Linked DNA regions of Rhinolophus ferrumequinum. The protein of the gene in region 1 interacts with the protein of each later gene in a biochemical or structural test. Links are inferred from orthologs where the notes say so. Each region holds a gene or a part of one and is shown on either strand. Other genes may lie near its edges.

Region 1 (10,790 bases):
AATACTCTCTCTTTTCCATTCCCTCTTCCTAATTCTCTACCTGTCTACCTCCTACCCATTTTTCAAGGCTTAACTCAAATGTCACCTCCTTTGTGAGGTCTTCCAGGATCTGCACAGGTAAAATGAATTGTTCTCTGATGCTTGTTGCTGTAGCATTTTTCATGTACTGCTACTATAATCATGTATCATTTTGAGTGCTCCTCGTTTATTTTATGGTGTTCTTCTGTGAAAAAGCAAGCTCCTTATGTTTGTTTGAATTCCAAGCCCTCAGCAGAGTTCCTGGCACTTTACTAAAGAAACATGTTTGAAAGAAAAGAAGGGAGGAGAAAAGAAAAGAAAAAGGTAAAGGTGGTGCGGATCAGGCTGGCTCTGGAGCCTAAGCGAAAGTATAAAAAGACATTTTGTCTTCTATTTCTGAGCAAAAATACCACTACACTCCATAGTTGGACCCTTGTAGTGGGTGTCATGGTACTGAATTTTAACTAATCTTAAAATATCGATTTGGCACAGGAAGAAAAATGAGTAGGATAGAAGCTTTGCTTGTCTACAATGTTGAGTTTCTGCCCCAGAAACGTCTGGTAGTGTCTGATAACAGTACTGCAAGGGGTGCCTGTTATTCCCCTGCTCTTTTCATGTTCTCTTGAGTACAGCAGTAGCAAAACTATGAGTTTTTTACCACAGGGTGACAGAACCTCAGCAAGCAAGATGAAAAGTGGTAATTTTACACAACTGCCTTTCTTAGAGGTCCTGGCAACAACTTCCTTTTCCTTAGTGTGAGCTGATGGCATAGTCACTTCCTATTTGGTCTCAACTGCCAGTTTTTTTCCTGTTTTCAACTGCCACCTTTGACTAGAACTGTTTTCTTGAGAAGCCTACAAATTAAAGAACAAGTGGTCAATTCAAGAAATGTTAAAAAGTTAATTCAGAGGGAAAAATATCACCCACATTGGTTATTTAGCATCATTTCGTGGTAACACATGAAAGGCTCTCCTGTAACTAAAAACAGCACACTGGAGAGCACAAAGAAGTTACCTGACTTCATTACAAAGAGCCCAGTCTCCCAAAGAATCTGTCCTAAGAAACTCCCCAGTCTCTTTATGTCCTCCTATGGCAACAGAAAACAACCATTATAGGATGATTTGTGCAGCAAGCAGTGGTTTTGTGACCACTGAAGTGACTGTGAGTGAGCACATGCAGGCTTCTGAGGGCTTTCACCTCCAGCCCAAGGCATCTGAAAATCAACAGTGCAATTCTGTGAGAGTTTAGGCAGTCTGCAAAACTGAAACCAAGGAAGATATCTCTTAACATTCCATCTTTTGACTCCTACCTCTGAATGAAATTATCCTGGCCACATTTAGTTTTTTCAGTTCTGAATCAGTTGGTGAAGTCAAGAAGTTACAAGCTCAATTCTTTTGGTCGCTAAATGCAAATATTTCAAAGTGAGTAAGCATATGTGTAAAGAAATGTTATAAGCAGGAAACCACCTAAGCAGCATCTGCTTCCGCCCACCTCCTCTGTTGCTCTACTCCTGTCAGTAGCATCAGGAAGTACAGCTAGCGAGAAAATTTTGCTGTGCTTAATCTTAGGTACTAGTTTTGTTATAAATGATACTATGGTAGAGTATCGGGTAAGCCCCAAAGGGTGCAAGGTTACTCAGGGAAGCAATTACATAGGTTTAATGCTCCTTGACCAAAAATTGATTCAATAGGTTTTTCTCTTAGGATGCTTTGCTGGAACAATAGCGAATATACAACATCTGCAAGAACTATTATATCACAGTTTCCAACTTGATACTCACAGAGAGTAGAGATTTGAGGTATCACATATGCTTCTATATAAAACAAAAGATAAAAGGGGCCCTTAAATGTTGGACTTCCAAATATCAGTAGAGAGTTCAGTAGCTTGAATCAAAATATTGATGGTGAGCTTCTAGAACTACACAAATAATTTGCTTTAGTTTTAAATATTCAGATAATTGAAAGAAATTCAGATAATTGTATCAATTTGCCCTTACATTTCATATATTTATATAGTTTATACATTTCAATGTGGTTTTTAGCCTCAAAATATGAAAGTACAAAATGTGAAACCCTACCTTTAAATTTTGTGAAGTGGAATAAAAAGTAAAATTTATCTCACGAGGTACACATTTGAAGGCTCCTATGTAATGCCTGGTACATTAGAACATGCTCCATGATTAAACTTTTTTTTGTAAACAAACCATTAAATTTTCTTAAACTTATTTTCTCTTCAATATTATTTTTCATTAAGTAGTATTCACTCTTTGGGGCAGATGATCTATGACTTAGTACAAAAGCAATATAAAAATACTCTTTCATTTCCAGTAACCCTTCGATGTGGCCCAATATCTTGTGGGGATTTTTGGGGGGAGGTGGGGAAGCCACTACATTGAACTGAAATCTTCAGGGAACAGTGATTCCCAAGTCGGTTTCTTGGTTAGTAATCCCTAATGCAAAGAGTGTAGAGCATGGTTTTTCAAACCTTGGCACCATTGACAATTTGGGCTGGGTAATCCTTTGTTGTGACAGCTGTCCTGTGCATGGGAGGATGCTTAGCACCCGTGGCCTCTACCCACTACCAGTAACGCCCTTTCCTCCCCATTTGTGACAACCAATAATGTCTCCAGAAGGCAAAATTACCCCTGGTTGAGAACCACGGCCCTAATGCATTACTGTCTACATTGAGGTTTGTCTGGCCATTTCTGTCTACCTACATTTTAGCTGTGAATCAGTCCATTCAATAAATATTTACAAACATGGGTAAAATTAAATGTTTAATATTGACGGTATGACAAATGTTGGAAATTGAAATCACAGATTATAAATTTAAATTAAGTTTTGTTGGGTTCAAGGACACTGTCTAATTTGGAGTTCACTGACTTCAATTAATCTGTATACAATCTTATTTTATTTATATGGTTATTAAGTGTTCATAGCACTCAGGTCACACCAATTAAGCAGGTACAAAATCTGATTTGAGGCACTATGTTACATTCCATGGGGTTACCAAAGAGCATAATATGTGGTGTCTCTCCTCATGGAACTTTTTCCATCAAGCTATGGGAATACATTGTAATATAGTATTAGACTCTGGGATGATATTTTGAAGTAAAATATTCAAGTGTCCTTTTCTGGGGAGAGTGAAAAAAGCACACTTGAATTTCTTATTTTATTTATATTAAGATATATATATATATATATGCATATATATATATATATATATATATATGAAAAAGCATAAGCAAACCACAAGGAACTCCACGTAAAAACTCAAGTGATCTCTATAAATAATAATAACAGATAGTTTATTTAATAGAAGTAGTCCTAAATAAAGGTCAAAAAGTTTACTAAGATCTCAATAGCAGTGTTTCTAAGGAAACGTCTCAATTGTTCAGGTCTCAAAAGTTAGCATTTAGACTACTACATTCTTACATAACTCTGGCCCAGAATGATGTCAGGGAAAGTCACTTCTCAGATATGCTTAATTTACTTATCTATTAAAATTACACAACTTGCTCTTATGTAGTTGTGAAATTAAAGTAACTGGAAAGAATTTTGGAGACCAAAAAAAAAAAAAAAAAGAATGGTGTCACATATACTAAAGTGAATGATTTAAAGGTTCAGCAAGAGCAGTACGTAGGAGTTTAACCAGGCATCAATAAAACACACAGTATACCAATAATGCACCCACCTATCACTATACTAATCTCAGTGAAGAATTCAAAGGAAATACATCTATTCATTTATTCATTTAACAAATCTCTATTGAGGGCTTACTATGTGCCACACACTCTCCTAGCCTCTGAGGATACAGCAATGAACAAAACAGACAAGAATTTTGCCCACTGACAGTTGCCATCCTACCTGAATAATTCTTATGTAAGAGAAGGTGGATCTCTGGCCTCTAGGACCTAACAATCTTGTTGGGCAGACTAAACAAATGAAATAAGAACAAAACCACAATGTGACTGTGGCTTCCATCGACATGCAAAAGAAGTTTGAAAGGGGGATTAGAGCAAGGAGGATGGCTCAATGGGGGTGAGATTTGAGATGAGCCTCTGAAAGGGGGATTAGAGCAAGGAGGATGGCTCAATGGGGGTGAGATTTGAGATGAGCCTCAAATGATGGAGCTTGATTCAAACCCTTGGTATTCAAAGTGTGTTCTAAGAATCAGCAGTAGTGCCATCACCTGTGAAATTGTTCGCAATGCAGAATCTTGTGCTCACTCTAGAGTTGCTAAATCAAAATTGGCACTTTCAAAAGAATCCCAGGGAATTTCTATGGACATTAAAGTTTAGGTGGCTCTGCAGGTTTTTGGTCAGGCTGGCATTGTTGAGTGTGAGCTGGGTGAGTGGGAGCTAGAGATTGGATTGGGGCCTCTCATCATGTTAGAAGTAATAAGGGCCTGGAATTGGGAAACCAGGAGTAAGGGAAATGCAATTATATCCTCCATCATCTGAATAGATAAGAAAATGTGGTGTAGATACATGATCTGGAATATTATTCAGCCATAAAAACGATGGGAATCCTGCCATTTGCAACAACATGGATGGACCTTGAGGGCATTATACTAAGTGAGATAAGTCAGATTGAGAAAGACAAATACTGTATGATCTCACTTATATGTGGAATCTAAAAAATACCAAACTTATGGAAACAGAGAGTAGATTGGTAGTTGCAAGGGGCAGGGGATGGGGGAAATTGGTGAAGGTGATCAAAGGGCACAAACTTCCAGTTATAAATGAATATGTTCTGGGGACCTAATGTACAACATGGTAACTATAGATAACAATGTTGTTTTGTGTACTTGAAAGTTGCTAACAGAGTAGATCTTAAAAGTTAGAGATACTTGGGTTTGAATTTCCAGCTCTACTTCTTAATTGTGCGATATTTTGTGTCAAATTATTTAAGCTCAACTTTTTCTTCATCTGTAAAATGGGGAGAAAGCAATATGACCTCCCTTGTAAAGATTCAATTAGGTAACACATTGTCCCTGGCACAAAGAAAATGGCATCCATGAATAATAATGATATTGACAATAGTATGCTATCTTTAAAAGGTTCAAAAGGAACAACAACAAAAATATATTAATTGAGTGTCTATTGAGTGGCCCCAATACTGTGTTGTGTACAGACCTATAACAACCTGCAAGGTAGGGAACTTCATCCTCATTTTGAATTGGCACTCAGATATTACATTTTTAAAATGTAATTGACCCCTTGTGGGTTCCCAGAGGTCCCTTCATAATGAGATTCTTGAAATTGCTATTACCATTGTTAATGTTATTAGGGTACTCTCAAAAGACCTTGTCTCCCTCCTGGAGTGGAACATGAAATGGGGTGGAGGCAAGGATTTGCTGGAACCACTGCTGTGTATGCTGAGTTCAATAATATGCACTGCTACCGTACTGATGTTCATCCTCATTAATTTTTCTGCGGACGTACCATCTGTTCTCCAACTTCCCTCTCTATTAAACGTGCAGAACTTGTGATAAACAGAAGCCCCAGTCTGGCCACCCCCCACCAAAGGATAGCCCAAGAGGTAGGTGTAGCCTCAGATTCAGGTCACCTGAAGCATGTCTGGGGGCGAGAGATCCCGAAAGCATCAGAGTGGCTACGGATCTGCCCGGTGGCACGGCCTCAGGCTGGGGAGACCCCCACCGCAGTAATGGGCAGGAGTCCACCGACTCGGTGGCTCTCTGTGCCCCTCTGTGCCCCACCCTCGATCAGATTGGGAAGCCAAGAAGGACTTCCAACACTCTCCAAGTTTTAACTCAAGAAGTCTACGAGGCTGCGTGTGCCCCAGCCTCGTACGCCTGCCTGCAACGTGGCCGCGTCTAGGACGCCCTCATAACCCCAGGTCACCCAAACTTTTCCATTATCTCTCCAGGCCGAGCCGTGTTCCAGGTCCCCCAGGCCCCGGGTTCTCCTCTCCGCGTGCGGGGAGAGTCTTCCCTTCTCAGGCTCCAGCAACCCCAGGCAAACCTCTTCACTCGGAACCTTAGCTCTCCTGACACCGCCCGACTGTGGGGCGGGGGCAGGGCCAACGGAGGAACCGCCCCCAACCGCCTCCCCCGCCAGGCGAGCGGGCGGGTTGCTGAGGCGCCTCCACCTCCTCTTCCTAAAGCGGCTAGGCGCAGACGAGCGGCATCACTCGAGCCCAGGTCTCAGCCACCGCCACATACAGCGCCCCGCATTCAGGAGGAGGAGCAGCAGAGGAGGTGGCGGCAACAGCGGCCGACGGGCGCCAGAAAGGTAGACTGAGTCCCAGGGAGTAGCCCCGCGAACTGCCGACTTCGCAGTCCCGGGCTACGCGCCACTAGCCCAGTAACCCCACTTCTGTGTGTCCTTCCAGGCCCGGGTCGAAAAGCCTGGGAGGGCCGCCGAAATACCCCCGGAGAAGGAGCCAGTCCCAGCCCAAGGCGCCACCGCCGCAGAAGCAGTGCGGAGCAGCCGTCGCCTTCATGGCCCACTCACCGGTGGCGGTCCAAGTGCCCGGGATGCAGGTGAGGAAGCCCAGGCCTGCCCCGCCGCCCATGTGACTACCCCAGAGCCCCGTACGCACTCCTCACTGGGCACCGAGAGGCGGCCTCAGGGCTCCCCCGAAGGCAGGGCCGGGCGCTCTGGCCAGGTGACCTGGGAATTGGGCTCTAAGTGTTTCCTGGCGTTGAGGCTATGCACTACGTTGGGAAGGAGGGGAGGGATTGGGGCGCGCAACGAGGTGAGGATGGGGTGGGGGCGTTATAAAAATAGGCCAGAGCGAGACACCTGCGCCTGCTGAGCGTGGTACCCTTGAGGATTGGAGGCGGGAAGACTTGGGAGAGATGGAGGTGTCTCGGAATTTATCGGGTAAAATGCAATTTGTGCCCCCTGCCAAACACAAGTTGGAGCGGAGCAAGACAAGGGGATGTCGGTGGCGGCGGCATTAAATCGGTCTCTTCCTGTGTGCATAGAGCGAAGTGACTTCTTTTCCCCTTTTGGTGCTGCTTCTTAAGGGCGAAGTTATATCTCCCTACCCCACCTGGCCCAACCCATAGGGCAGCATGAGAAATGTTGGGTCCCATATCAGAATCGCCTAGGAGATGACTCTCCAGCCCCTTCCCCAGCCTTTCCCACAAAATGACTGTTGCATGTTGTTAAGGGAAGCTTTTTGTCCTGGACTGGGGACTGCTGCATGGGACCCAACTTCTTGCTGAAGATCTACCCAGTCCCCCTCCCCGTTATATTTTCATTTTATTAAAGAAGAAATAAGCTATTTTCATACTTTATATGCTGTTATGGTTTTAAATTGGTGCATTTAAAGCTATCTACTAAATGTTACCCAAGTCTACTAACTTTTAAGCATTCACATTTTTTTTTCCTTTGCAAGATAGCCTAAGCAACCCATTTATGAATAACTCAGAGACTAGACACACTAAAGCCTCACTTCCTTATTATGTTCTAAAAATGTGAAAGCAAACTTTTCTCAAGTTCAGACAAAAATGTTTAGTAAATAGCTTATGTTTTAGTATCAATCAAAGAGCTGTGGATGGGGGCCTCAATTTCCTAATTGATGCATGGAATTCATTTTTTTTAAAAAGCAATTGGTCACATTTTATGCATGATCACAAAAGAGTGATTTTTAAGATACTTCCCCCAAAAAGGACCATCTGTGTCTGACACATACCTAACCAAAGACTCTTGTGTATCCTAAGCACCAGGCCTTTTAACTGAATATCGTCTGTGTCGAGTCCCAGGAAGTTGGTGTGTATTTAATAAAAATAAATAAATAAATAAATAAATAAATAAATAAATAAATAAACAAACAAACAAACAGGGAGAAAAAGGGTAATGAGAAATATTAAGGCTTTTAAAAAGGTTAATCCACTCAAGCTTTACAAAATGCCTCAAACTTTCTTCTCAGGCCACCCCCTTCCCTCCCTCTTTCCCCCATCCAGCCTGGCCCACACCCCATTCATTTGGTTCTGTCTTTGATTGTATCATGGGAATTAGAAGCTTGCAATACTAACTATGGTTTTGCTCTGTCTGATGTGGAGGAAAGTGCGAAAAATTTCCCACTGAACCCTCCTTCCCATTATGTGGAGATGTACAGATGTAACATTTGTCTTTGAGGGTTTCCAGGCTTTTCTCTCCATTGTGTACGTTAGCAGAGTGAGTGCCTGCCCTTCAAGTTTGTGATTCTGAAAAACTGTGAGCTAAAGAGAAAATAGTTTCTGGTCTTTATTTCATTTGTCTTGACTTTATTTGATTTATATAGTTTCTAGTCCTTATTTGATTTATATGGTTTAGGAAATGCTTGCTGTTAAGTGTTTCTTATTGCTCCCAGCTTTGTTGAATTATCTGAGTTCCTATCTCTTGAATTTTTAAATGTTAATTAAGGTGGTTTAGAATGTGAATCACGTATTTTAAATGACAAACTCTGCCTTTCACTTTATGCCTACCCAAAGTTGTGATTATTTTGTCCAACCTTAATTTGGAAGAGGCAGTCATCTCAATATTAGCGAAGAGACTTTTTTCATCTTAATGAAAATGGTAAATTCTTAACTTCTCATTTCCATTTTCTTTATAGATGTGGTTCTTAAGCATTTGGTGCAACACAAAACGTTTTCCACAGTTAAAATTGTACAGTACCCTAAAAATAAATTTGATGGCATACAGTGTGACTCTTGAGCCTAGATTTCTTTTACTATTTTGTTCAAAAATATTGCATTTGAGATGCAGAAATACATCATGACCTTGTGAAATTTTCCTAAAATTTTGTTAAAGAGTTAAGAGCACCTTTTTTTAGACCTTTAGAGTAGTAAGAAAACTTGAGTTAGCCATGTGTTCTTGAAATTAATGTATAGTATTTCTACAAATCATGGTGAAGTGATTGACTGGCCTGTAACTTTTTAACAGTTTATTTTAGAGAATTATCAAGATTGATGGAAAAATGATTTTTCCAGAAATAAAAACAAAATTATCCACAGTGTTTTCCTCCCTTCCCCTCCCCCCCAGGAAAGACATGAAGTAAAAGCTGAGCTACCTGTTCTATCACTTAAGACTTCCAGCATTCCTGACTTTCAAACAAAGAAATTTCTGTTGCCACTAGTTTAAAATAGAAAAGAAACTTGGAGTGATGAAAGAAAACCCAGGATTTGGTCCAGTTCAAACTCCTCCTTATGAATTAGTTATTCAAACTCATTGTTGATATTTCTTAATATCATGGTAATGAACATTTTTGCCATATTACACCAAATGTTGAGGATATGAATTTTTTTGTACTTAATCTGTGCTTACTTCTTTAGTGTATAACTAAAAGAATTTTCCATACCAGGAGCTAAACTCTCAAAAAAAATTTTAAAGCACAACTTTAAAAAAATTAACCAATAAACTTGTTCCTTTCCACTCAAATATTTACTCTTTATTGATTTAAAACATGTTTTTTTTCCTTTGAAGTTTTCAGTTATAAATCACACTTGTTTAAGATATTTCCCCTTAGAACCACATTAGTATTTATGAAGACAAGTATTCTAAATTGGTTGTTAAGTCTTTCGTAAAATGTAGGTAGAAACATCAATGTTCAGTTAAATGTTGAATTAGAGTACTAAGTGTTATTATGTTATGCCTATTGTATATAATAATATTAAAATATAATACGATCTAAAAATATAATTTTTTTTAAAGTTCCTGATAAAGAATTTAAAAATTAGCCTTCATGTATCTTTAAATATGATAAACTTGGTACAATTTTTAAATGGTTATTATTTGACGTGTGAGATAGAAATTAAATTTAAAAATTAGTGAACACTTTATTGAAGACTTTTATCTAAGAGGTAGAAAACATTGCCTTGCACTGGTAAATTTAGTTATTGGGTTTTGGGAAGAATACAGAAATATACTATGTGACCTCTGCTCTTCAAGAACTTAAAATGTTGGGAGGTTAAGTCTAGCACATGAAATATCAAATATGCAAAATCTGTGATACTTACTCTATAATAGAATTTCTGACTGGAAGAGATGAAGGCTTACAGAAAGTAAACTGACCCCAGAGGGTTGTTAGGAATCATTTTGGGAAGAGCATTTCCAAGCAGGGAAATATCCTGAGCAAAGGCATGGAGACAGGGAAGAGTACATTCGCAATTTGTGTGTGCACACACAATCTGAGAGTGGGATTAAAATCACTTGGACTATGTATGATACAGAATTCCTCTAGAGAAATAATAAGAGATAAGATTGAAAAACTAGATTGGGTTCAGATTATGGTGGTCTTGAATGCTAGGAAGGATTTTGGCCTTTGCACTAAACATTTCTGAGAAGGGAGACTCAGTGAACAAAGTTAAATACAGGAAGGTAAATCTTAAGATCGGATGAATGGATGAATGGGAAAATGAAGAGATTTGAGGCGATTTGATCTACTGAGGCTATTCCAGTGGGACAATCAAATATGTGCAGATGCAATGGGCCTTGCATTAACTGACTGCCTTCCAAATGCCTAGTGCTGTGAAGATAAAAAATATAATTACCAGACTTAATAATTAGCTAGTTATAACTACAGATGGAGGAATCCAAGCCTTTGTGGTGTTGAATATGGGGAACTGGGAGGTTTATGGTACATCCAAAAGAACTGGAAAGTCAGAGAGAAGAGCCAGGTCTAGTGGGAAGTTAATGATTTCTGTTCTAGACTTGTGAGGTTTGAGGTAACAATGGGACGACAAAGTGAAAATGTAGAACAATATGTCTATTACCTTAATTGTGGTGATGAGTTCATAGGTGTATGTATATGCCCAAA
Region 2 (10,284 bases), on another chromosome or scaffold:
ACTCTAACCACTGAGCCAACCAGCTGCTCCAATCTTCAACTTCTTTAATTGTCCTTCCCATCAGCGTTTAAACATGCTCAAGCCTCTGCTATCTTCTAGACTCTCTCTTGAACAGGCCTTCCTCTCCACTCTCCTGTCTTGAAAATGCAACCTATGTTCATTATTTCCATTCCCATATCTCCCATTCACACCTGAAACCCTCTGACATCCCAGTGCCTCTCCCCCCCTCACTCCAAAGGTACAACTCTCTCCAAGGTCACTAAAATCCTCCTGTTGCCACATCCAACCATAATTTCCAACCTTGTATTACTTGATCCTACTGCAGCATTAAACTGTTGGCTATTTTTTCTCTTGAAATGTGTCTATGGGACATAACCCTCTCCTGGTTTTCTTCCTATCATCTTTTCTACCTATTGCTTCTAGGTGGGGTCCATCTAACTAACTAGCCCTACTGACCAACCAGTTGCCCATGTTTTCTTCCTATAGTCCTCATTCTCCCCTGCAATCTATAGCCAACAAATCACCAAGTGCGATCTAAATTTCTTTTTTTTTTAGCTGATTCACTTTTCTCCACCCCACTGCCACAACCCTAGTTTAGCCCCATTATCTCTTGCCAGAATGAACACAGCCTCCTACTGGTCTCACTACTTCTGATCTGGCTGGCCATCTTTCATCCACTGCACACATAGGATCCGAATGGTGTTTCTAAATCTAAAGTACACATCTGAGCTTGTCACTCCATGCCTTAAAGTTTCAATGCCCACTTCACACCCAACCTACCTGCACTGCCTTCATGTTGAAGCCCAGTTCTTAACATGGATGATGTGGCTTTCATTATTGGACCTTTGCTTATCTCTCCAACCTTATCTGGTGCCAACTCCCCTCTTCAATCCTGCCATGTTGTAACAACATGAATACACCTTGAGGGCATTCTTCCAAGTGAAATTAGTCAGACAGAGAAAGACAAATACTGGATGTTCTCACCTATATGCGGAATCTAAAAGAACTGAACTCAGGCTGGTCTGGTGGCTCAGGTGATTGGAGTGCAGTGCTCCTAGCACCAAGGTCACCGATGTGCCACCGTGAGTGGCCGGAGGCCAGCATGAGTGGCCGGCAGCCGGCGAGAGCTACTGTGGGCTGCTGTGAGCGGCCGACCGACTGCCTCATGGGGGTGGGGGGGACAGCACAAGGCTCAGAACACCAGCGTGGGCCAGGGAGCTGTGTCCTATCCTACACAACTAGACTGAGAAACAACAGCTTGAACTGGAGTTGGGGGGGAGGCAGAAGAAGGGAGGAAAATAAAATAAAAAATAAAAGAACTGAACTCATAGAAATAGAGAGTAGAATGGTGGTTCCCAGGGGCTGCGGGTGAGGGAAATGGGGAGATGTCTAGTCAAAGGGTGCAAACTCCCAGCTAGAAGATAAATAAGGTCTAGGAATCTAATGTACAGCATGGTGACTATAACCAACAATACTGTACTATAGACTTGAATGTTAGTAAGAGAGTAGCTCTTAAATATTATCACCATACACATACACCCAAAATCGTAATTACGTGTGGATATGAAGGTGCTAACTAACCTCACTGCGGTAATCATTTGCCAATACAAACATGTTGCTAATCTTCACATTGTACACCTTAAACGTACATATGTTATATGTCAATAATAGCTCAGTAAAGCTGGAGGTGGGGAGAACTAGCAATAAAAAAAATTCCCCTCCTCAAGCTCCAGCTCTAAGCTCTATAGATTGAACTACTCAAATTCACTGTGTTTTCCAGCTTTTGGCGCTATTGCCATGATTTTCCTTGAACATTTACTCCCATCTTCAACTGGCTAAATCTTACTCATGCTTCATGTCTTACTCTTCTGTAATTGCCTGTTGACTCTCCTGGACTGCAAGCTCATTGAGAGCAGGGACTGTGTGCTGTTCAATGTCTCAGCCAGACTGCTTGTGCCCAGTAATTATGTGCTCTCAATAAGTATTTGTTGAATAAACAAAGATGCAATGAGCTTTAGAGCAGGTTTGGTGGGTTTACAGCTGTGGGAGGAGCAATTAAGCAGGAGAGTTTTAGAGTTCAAGCTTCAAAGGTACAGTAGTGGTGACTGACAGACCAGGGTGGGGCTAAGCAAGTGCTTGTTGACGTGGAGTGGAAGTGAGGATCACTGGGGCAGAGAATATGAGGGAACTATGACCCAACATATTAGACGAGTGGCACTTATGTTGCCCAGGAGAAGTCAGGCACAGGGTAGGGTGGAGAAGGAAGCTGTGAATCATGCGCTAAAGTCCTTTCACAGGTGGTGTGATTGAGGCAGGGAGGTGCCTTCATCCTGTGGCCCAGCTTCAGTGGAGGAGAGGAAGGGAAATGAGAGTGATGGAAGATTTACACAGGACCAACACTAACTCCAGAAAATGATGACCTTGCCTATGACCTTGAGATCAGGAGGGGAAAGTGAGGAGCCTCTGTGGAGAGGGTTTCAAGAAGAGGAGGTGGAGGAAATTCTCAGAAAGAGGTCGTGCCTACAAAGTAACATATGAATAGAATGGGCTTTCCAGAGAGCCCAGGGAAAGGAGGGAGAACGGTGTCTTCCCCAGAGTAAATTCAAGTGGTCAAATGACAGGGGTCCTTATGCTTTGGCTTCAGAATTTGTTCCAGAAATGTCTGCCGTCTTGCTGCTACAATTCTCAGCTATAATGGGCTGGTTTATCCCAGTTAAGAGATTCATCTGGAATCCAGTTCAGACCCTTATAGCAAAGGAATCAAAACCTTGCATATGAGATTATCCACCCCCATGCGTTCTTTTAGTCTGTGGGAAATTGGGTCTTGACTTATTTTTGTGGGATGTCAGCACAATAAAGGTCTCCCTTTGGGACTACAATGAAAAAGAACTCTCTCATCTTAAAAAAAAAAAAAAAGCTGTGGGGTTAAAGTCCTTACTGAACAAAGTTTCAAAATTAGATAAAACTTGTTGTAGTCTGCTCACTCAAAAGGGCCCAGCACCTCCCTTCCGCGGTCACTAAAGAGTCTTTGCTTTTCGGGAACCAGCTTGCTCAGGACTTTTCGTCAGCTGATTTCTCTCTGGGCCTAGACAGACACTAGACAGCTATGGCTCTTCTAACAGCTTCTAATATGCTTGATAAATTGTCCATGGTGGGACAGACTTGACCTTTAAAATGCTGCTATTTTACTTATATTCAAACTTTTTATTTTGGTTTTCCCTATATATTCACCAGCAAGATTGCTGTAGTTTTCTTTTTTTGGGGGTCGCATTTATCGAGGTTTTGCTATCAAGACTACAACCAGAAGAAGAATAATCAGCACCCTCCCACCCTCATCTCCAAACTTGTTAGAAATGCAGAATAACGGGCTCCCCTCCCCCAGACCAATGAAACCACTGTCTGCATTTCAACATGCTCCCCGGTAATGCACACCGACATTAGAGTTTGAGAAGCTGCCCCAAGCCTTGTTATTTACTGAAAACTGCTCCTGTCCTAATTTCAGTATAAGCAGCCTGGCTCTCCAGCCAGCAGATCCTTCATCCTAGCTCACTCTGTTTACTGTGCTAGTTCCAACAATCCTTTCACCCATCATACCACTTTTACAGGGTTTCTCCCCTTTCACTGCCCCCACCTCCGCCCCCCATTTCCTCACGGCCTCCAGTCTGGCTTGGATTCAACAGTTGGCCATTATTATTATTACTTCCTTGCATATACCCTCTCCTTCCTTTGTCCTTTCTTGCTCCATGGAGTTACCTAACAAAAATAGCCCTGGTTGAATCCAGCTCCCCACCTTCCTGCGCCTGCACCTTCCCAACAAAATGTGAGCCCTGTTGACTGGTCCTTCTTTACACCTTCTCCTCTTCCCTCAAATTTCCGACAGCTCCTCCCCCTCCACACTCTGAGCTGATGACCTTGCTTCCCATTTCCCTGAGAAAATAGAAACCCTCAGAAGGGAACAGACACCTGTTCCAGCTCCTCGTCCATCGGGCTCTCTGCCTCTGAGCCCACAATCTGCCTGCCCTCTGTCCCTGTGAGTGAAGGCCGTCCTGCTGGTGTCAAGGCCAGACCCTCTGTTGTTCCCTGCAACCTTCTCTTCTTGCTCACTCAAGGACAGCTCTCCAGAAAATGTGGCCCCTCCCATCAAATTTTCCCTCACTACTTGAATCACTCCCATCAGCACTTAAGCCAGCTGTAATAGCTTCCATCCTAAAAGCGAAAATGAAAAAGAGAAATAAAACAACAACAAAAAAATCTGTTTGACTCCATATTCTCCTTCACCTACCATCAAATTTCTTTCCTCCTCTTTAGAATAAAACTTCATGGAAAAGTTGTTTATACTCATAGTCTCTCTCTTCCTAGAGCCCCATTCTTTCTAGACATCTTTCTGGGTCTCACATTCTTTCCAAAGACCACTCCAATCAGGCTTTTCCACCCACCCCTGCTGAAACAGCTCTTACCAAGGCCACTAGTTACCTCTATGACACTGCCATCAATGACCAGTCACCAACACCAACCTTACTTCAACTATTAGTCAAAATCAGTGGCATTGATCCGTCCTCCACCCCTTGGTCTTCCAGTACATACAGTCTCCTGGGTCTCCTCCTCCCGCCACCCTAGCTCCTCTCCTCAGAATCCTTTGCTGGTTCCTTGCCATCTCCCTGACCTCAGCATTGGCACCTCAGGCTCATCCTTGGCTTTGCCCTTTATTAACACTCACTCCCTAAATGATTTCATTGAGTGTTGAGATTTTACTTACTCTGAGGACTCCCAAAATTCTTTCTCCAGGTATGGACGTCTCATCCATACCCTGACTTCTATATCCAGCTTCCTACTTGGATGTCTTGGATGTCTAGCAAGTAGTTCAGAATTAATATGCCCCCAAATATATTCCAGAGTTCCTCCCTTCACATCTGCTTCTCTTTAAGTCGTCCCCATTTCACCAAATTGTATCTTCCAGTTGCTTGAGAAAAACAAACAAACAAACAAACAAACAAAAAAACCCTTAGAAATCAGCAAAATCCTGTCAGCTCTACCTTTTAAAAGTGTCTAGAACCCAACCACTTCCTTACCCCTCCCAGCTACCATGCTGGACCTGTCTTCTGTGCACTGGATTATTTCAAAAGCTTTCTAACAGGATGGCTGACACCCTGACATCCTTCAGGCTGGTCTTCACACAACCAGAGCGATCCTTTTGAAATGTCAGACCACATCCTTTCTCTGCTCAACACTCTTCAAATAGCTTCTCATCTCATTCAGACTAAAAACCCAAGTTCTCCTTTCAGTCTGTAGGGTTTCCACCCTCTACTGTTTCTGCCCTCTTCCCTCCCTCAGGAGTCTGGCCTTGCCGGGCTCCTGGGCTCCCAGCTCCCAGCGGTGGTCCTTGCTGTTCCCTCTGCCATCCCAAGCATCCCACATAGTTCACCTCATGCTCTTCATGTAGCTGTTCCCTGTAGGAGAGCTATAAATAGTCATACCCTGCCCTCTCTCCCCTCCTTGGCCTATGTTGTTTTTCTCCATAGCACTGAAAACCATCCAAGGTCATGCTTGTGCTGGTTTATTTGTTTATTGTTTGTCTCGGGAGCATGGACTGTGTTGTTCACTGCCCTACCCCTTAAAATAGTGCCTGACACACAGTAGATGCTCGAAAATACCTGTTCAATTACAAATTAAAAACAAACAAAGCAACAGAAACAAAAATACACATGGATGATATTTTTATGTACCAGATTCTGCTCTGCTCTCTGGGCTTTGGAATTCATTTTCTCGCTCGTCCTCATAAGCCTATGGTCCTGTATTACACTTTTGTGCGCGCGTTGATGTGAAGAAACCCAGGTATAGGGACAGGAAACGGCCCGTGGGGACTAAATGAGTGGAGCTGGGGTTTAAATCCGCTGTTGAATGCTATTAATCTGGATCATTCCATCACTTTCCACGCTCTCTCTCAGAGGATGCTAAAATGAGAATGATCTGTCCCACGCAAGTATGACAGATTGGGTCTACACAAAGTTGGCCCTTCGTCTTGAGCAGAAATAAAGCTTTGTTAAGAGTTGAGGAAGTGGTCGTAGAAAATGGACGTGAGATTCCTCCAGGAAGCGTGCTTAGACAGACTAGAAGGGGGCTGAGCACCCACATTTAAGTGGCAGATGAAAGAAAAGGAACTCCTCTCCTCGGCTTCTGCTTTTCTGTGTCCCCTCCCTTTTCGTCCTCCGCGCGCACACCGGCGCCCTGAGTCCTCCCGGACGCCCGGGGGCGCCCGAGGCCAAAGGGGGCGTTGCGGCGCCGCCCGACGTCGCGCCCTGGGAGGCTGCGCAGTGCGCACGTCAAAGCCGGGCTCGGGCCGGGAGCGGGGAGCGGCGCGGCCTGGGAGAGACCGAGAGTCGGGGAACCGGGGGTAGGCGAAGGCAAAGGCGGCGCCGGGTCCTGCAGCAGCCGCAGCCGCAGCCGCAGCCGCAACCCGGGCGATCGAGCGCAGCAGTGCGGCGGCCGCCGCGGGAGCCTTTGGGCCGCCGTCCGCCCGCGCAGCCGCCGCCGCCGCCGCGGGAGCCCGTCGCCGGGAGTCGAAGCAGGCGGAAGACAACGGAGGGGCCGAGCACCGGAGCCGCGCCGCGGGGACCCAGCGAGCAGCCCGACGCGGCGGCGGCCGAGGACGGGGACGGCGACGACGCGGAGGCGGAGAGGGAGCCGCTCGGCCCAGCCCCGTGAGTGACCCCCGGCCCTGCCCAGCTCGCGGCGCGGACGCCGGCCCGGCTTCCGCCTGCCCTGCCCCGGCCCGTCACCGGCCCCGGGGCTGCCTCCATTTTCTCGGGTGGCCGCGGCGGCCCGACCCGGGCCAGCTCAGGCCCCTCGCGGAGGCTTGCCCTTTTGCTCTCGCCCGCGCGGCGCCCGGGGGCCTGCGGCCGGGGTCTGGGAGCCCCGGGCTCTCCTGCCACCCCTCTGCCGTTCTCCGGCGGGGCTGGCGGCTCGGGGCGTCCCCGGCCGGAGTACGGAGGGCAAAGAAGTGCGGGCCGGCTCAGCTGTCACTCCCACCGCACACGGGCTCCGGCCACCTCGCTCCTGGCCCCTGGTAAACTTTCTGTTATCTGGAGGCAGGTAGCATCTCTGTGATGTCCCTTTCGGGAAAATGCCTAACTGATTTCTGGTTAGGAATTGTGCGGCCAGAGCGTTCCCGAGTTCGGTTGAAACAGCCTGAGCGCTGACTGCGTGCAGGCGCCGTGGTCGGTCCGCACCGGAGGGATTCAAAGGTGAACCCGGGGCCGCGGTCGCCTCCCCCAAGGAGTTTAAGCTCTGGTATGGGAGATAAGACTAGTACACAGATAACACGATACCTGGAAGGAGACGATAAGTCCAGTGAAAGAACTACAAGGTGCTAGAAAGGAACCCAGGGAAGACTGGACCGATTGATCGATCACTTCCGCTTAGCAGAAATCTGGAAGGCTTCCTGGGCGAGGCGGTGCCTAAGGCGGTTTTGAAGACTCGAAAGGATTTGTGAGAGGAGGGCTGCAGAAGAGACGGTATGTGGAGGGGCAGCAGAGCTAGAGGACAAAGGTAAAAAGGCATAGGCTAGAAATAGTGGATAACTCAGTTTGTTGCTTAGGCCCATGGTGGGAAGTGGGGGTGGGCTGAAGAGGTATTTGGGGGCCAGATCCTTGAATGCTAGAAAGGAGCTGTTTAAGGGAAACCTAGAACTCATTTCTCAGTGACTCATGAGCCCGGAAATGTAAGCTAGTCGGGATATTGAAGGCGCTGCTGTGAAAGAAAGGAGAGGAGGAGGCCCAGTACAGAGTTGACATTCTGTGTCTTGAATATAATGCAGTTTGAGATCGATTTTGACAGCTTCCGGGATATTCAAATGAATCCATGTCCAGGCCAAGCAAAGAACCTTTTGCAAAAAGCTTCCTTAGATGTCAGGCTCTTGGAGGTAATGGAAAGATGTGTTTAAAATAAGCTCGTCTGCACATAAGGCATTTCTGTTGGTGCAGTTCACTAAACTGCATCAAAACTTCTTGCACTGTGTGTTAGGTGTCTAAACTTTGGAATTACTCAGCTGAACATAATTTACCTCTTTGAGATGGCATTTATGTAAAGCAATCTAAATTGATGATTTTCAAAATCAAATTGTTACTAATATTCTGAGATAGAAAGTGACATAGAACCTTTTTATGGAAAGGTTCATTTTTTTAAATTAATTTTTAGTAATGAAAATCGTTATAGGAGAACCAGGAGCAAAAGTCTTTAGTTTTATTTTGTACATTTAAGAAATTACTAGGAAGTAATTGGCAGCTGTATTTGAAGTCCTAAACATACGATCTGTGGAAGCAGCTTAGAACCTGTGTTGGTTTTGTAAGCACTTACTTCTTTGTTTGCTTATATGATAAATGAATGTCAATTGTTTTGAGTTTTAAAAAAAGCAGTTGTAAAATGCAGGAAGTACTGGAAAATTTTTAAAAATTATCTTCTGTAATCTTACCACTTATATTTGGTTACTGTTAACATTTTTGCATATTTCCTTTTCAGCGTTATATTTTTTCTTTACATAATGAACTAAACTACATATAACTCTTATTAAGCATTTTTGTCATTAAATATCTTCGTATAAAAATATTTTCCCCCAAGTAAGGGAAGTCTTAAATTTTTTTTCTGACAAGGTTGTATTATTTATGTCAGATAAAATGTAGTAGTCATGCTTAATAACTGCTCCTGTGGACAGTTTTTCCTAAAGACTTCTTGTTTGAAGTATAGTTATTCACTTCTTTGTACAATTTAGATTCTATTGCTTGTTTATTACTTGGGCTGCATCTTGCCAGCAGGTAGGAAAGAGGTCTGACACATCTCTGCTATATGAGTGGATGTACTTTTCTAAAAGGCATTAAAAAGGATTACTTTCGTAGCTGGTATATCTCCCATACACTAATGCACCTCCATTCCTACCTCCCCATGCCCCACCCCCCAAAGTATTCTTTGAATGAGGGCTGTCCACATAGGCTACTACTTTTGATTATGACATTACAAAGATTCAGGCTAAATGCATGTAGTTTTCTATTGGCATTTCTCTAGTAAATATAGAATTTGTCATGAAATAATTTTGCTGCTAGAAATAATTTGCTGCTGTAACAAAAGGGACTTTGGTTTTTTTATTTCAAGGCACTTCACTTTATTTCATTTCAGACTGCAGGTTCTTTAAACCAGTTTTTCCCCTTGTGCTTTACATTCTAAAATATATTAATGAGGTCTCTTCCTGTTTCTAATGGCATATAAAATGAGATGCTGAGCTAAACTATAAATTTTCATAAAGTCAACATAAAAGAATAGCTGAGAAAGTCCAGTTTAAGAATGGGGTTTGGTTTTATAATTTGGTTTTATTTTAATCTTTATTTGTATATTACAAATGTTTATTTTGAATATTTACTAAAGTTTTTTCTTTTGATCAATTTTTGTAGGTTATAGATTTCTGTAATTACTACTGTACTTCCCAAGAGCCTTTTTTCAAGGAGGGGTTGATCACTGATAATTCAGTTTTACCATCTTCCATAAAAATACAGACACAAATCCAAATTGTCCCCCACCTGATTCCAACAGCACGCAAAAATAAAATCCAATATTATATGGTAGAACTTCATTTTAGGTAGTATATTCTGGTTACCTTTCTGGTGGTGTTTTTATTTTAAAAATCCATTTTGTTTTCCATGGCTTCTTTTAATTAGGAATTTGATTCTATGAATGTTGTCTGCTGTTACAGAAATAGGAGTGTCATAGGTGGATTAATATGGAAAATGGCAAAATGTTGATAAAACTTTTTGGAGTGGTAAGATTATGAGGAAGACGATCAGATCTCGGAACCTCTGGGTTAGATTGCTTGTGACTTGTTTTGTTGTTTAATTATTGAAGTGTAAAGATCTTGTATTCGTGTGAATGCATATCAAACCACGCAGCCTAAAAGTTGCGTAACAATTTAGTCATCAGTCTATATTTTGTTTTTTTATTGGAGAGAAGGCTGGTATTGGAGCCATCCTTAATTAAAGAAGGAATGGAGCTACTCTACTATGTGAGAGTTCTTCCTCTGTGTGTCTCACCACTTTAATGACTGTTCAGCTGGACCCGAGTCACTACCTTTATCAGTCAGAGTATGGGGGTGGAGCAAGGTGAGACAAGTATTTCTACTACCACCAGCATTTGTAGAAGAGACTAGTCGGAGTAAATGCCAAAATGTGTGTTCTGCTTCTGTTTCTCGGGGCTTCCCAGGATTGTGAGGAGGAGTTCCTGAAGGACCGGGCGGCGAATGACGGA

The links. The genes of interacting proteins can lie anywhere in the genome.
Region 2: the proteins of STK26 (region 1) and CAB39 are reported together in a solved structure, tested with the Homo sapiens proteins (2 studies listed by IntAct, with this or other methods). The link is inferred for Rhinolophus ferrumequinum from reciprocal best matches to the Homo sapiens genes STK26 and CAB39.

Annotation. Positions count from the first base shown.
Region 1 is NC_046284.1:23,858,002-23,868,791, reverse strand, and holds the start of STK26 (serine/threonine-protein kinase 26), read left to right. Parts: upstream 1-6,119; 5' UTR 6,120-6,274; intron 6,275-6,374; 5' UTR 6,375-6,483; coding exon 6,484-6,525; intron 6,526-10,790. UniProt on the Homo sapiens protein: Serine/threonine-protein kinase that acts as a mediator of cell growth. Modulates apoptosis. In association with STK24 negatively regulates Golgi reorientation in polarized cell migration upon RHO activation.
Region 2 is NC_046291.1:7,495,875-7,506,158, reverse strand, and holds the start of CAB39 (calcium-binding protein 39), read left to right. Parts: upstream 1-6,333; 5' UTR 6,334-6,698; intron 6,699-10,284. UniProt on the Homo sapiens protein: Component of a complex that binds and activates STK11/LKB1. In the complex, required to stabilize the interaction between CAB39/MO25 (CAB39/MO25alpha or CAB39L/MO25beta) and STK11/LKB1.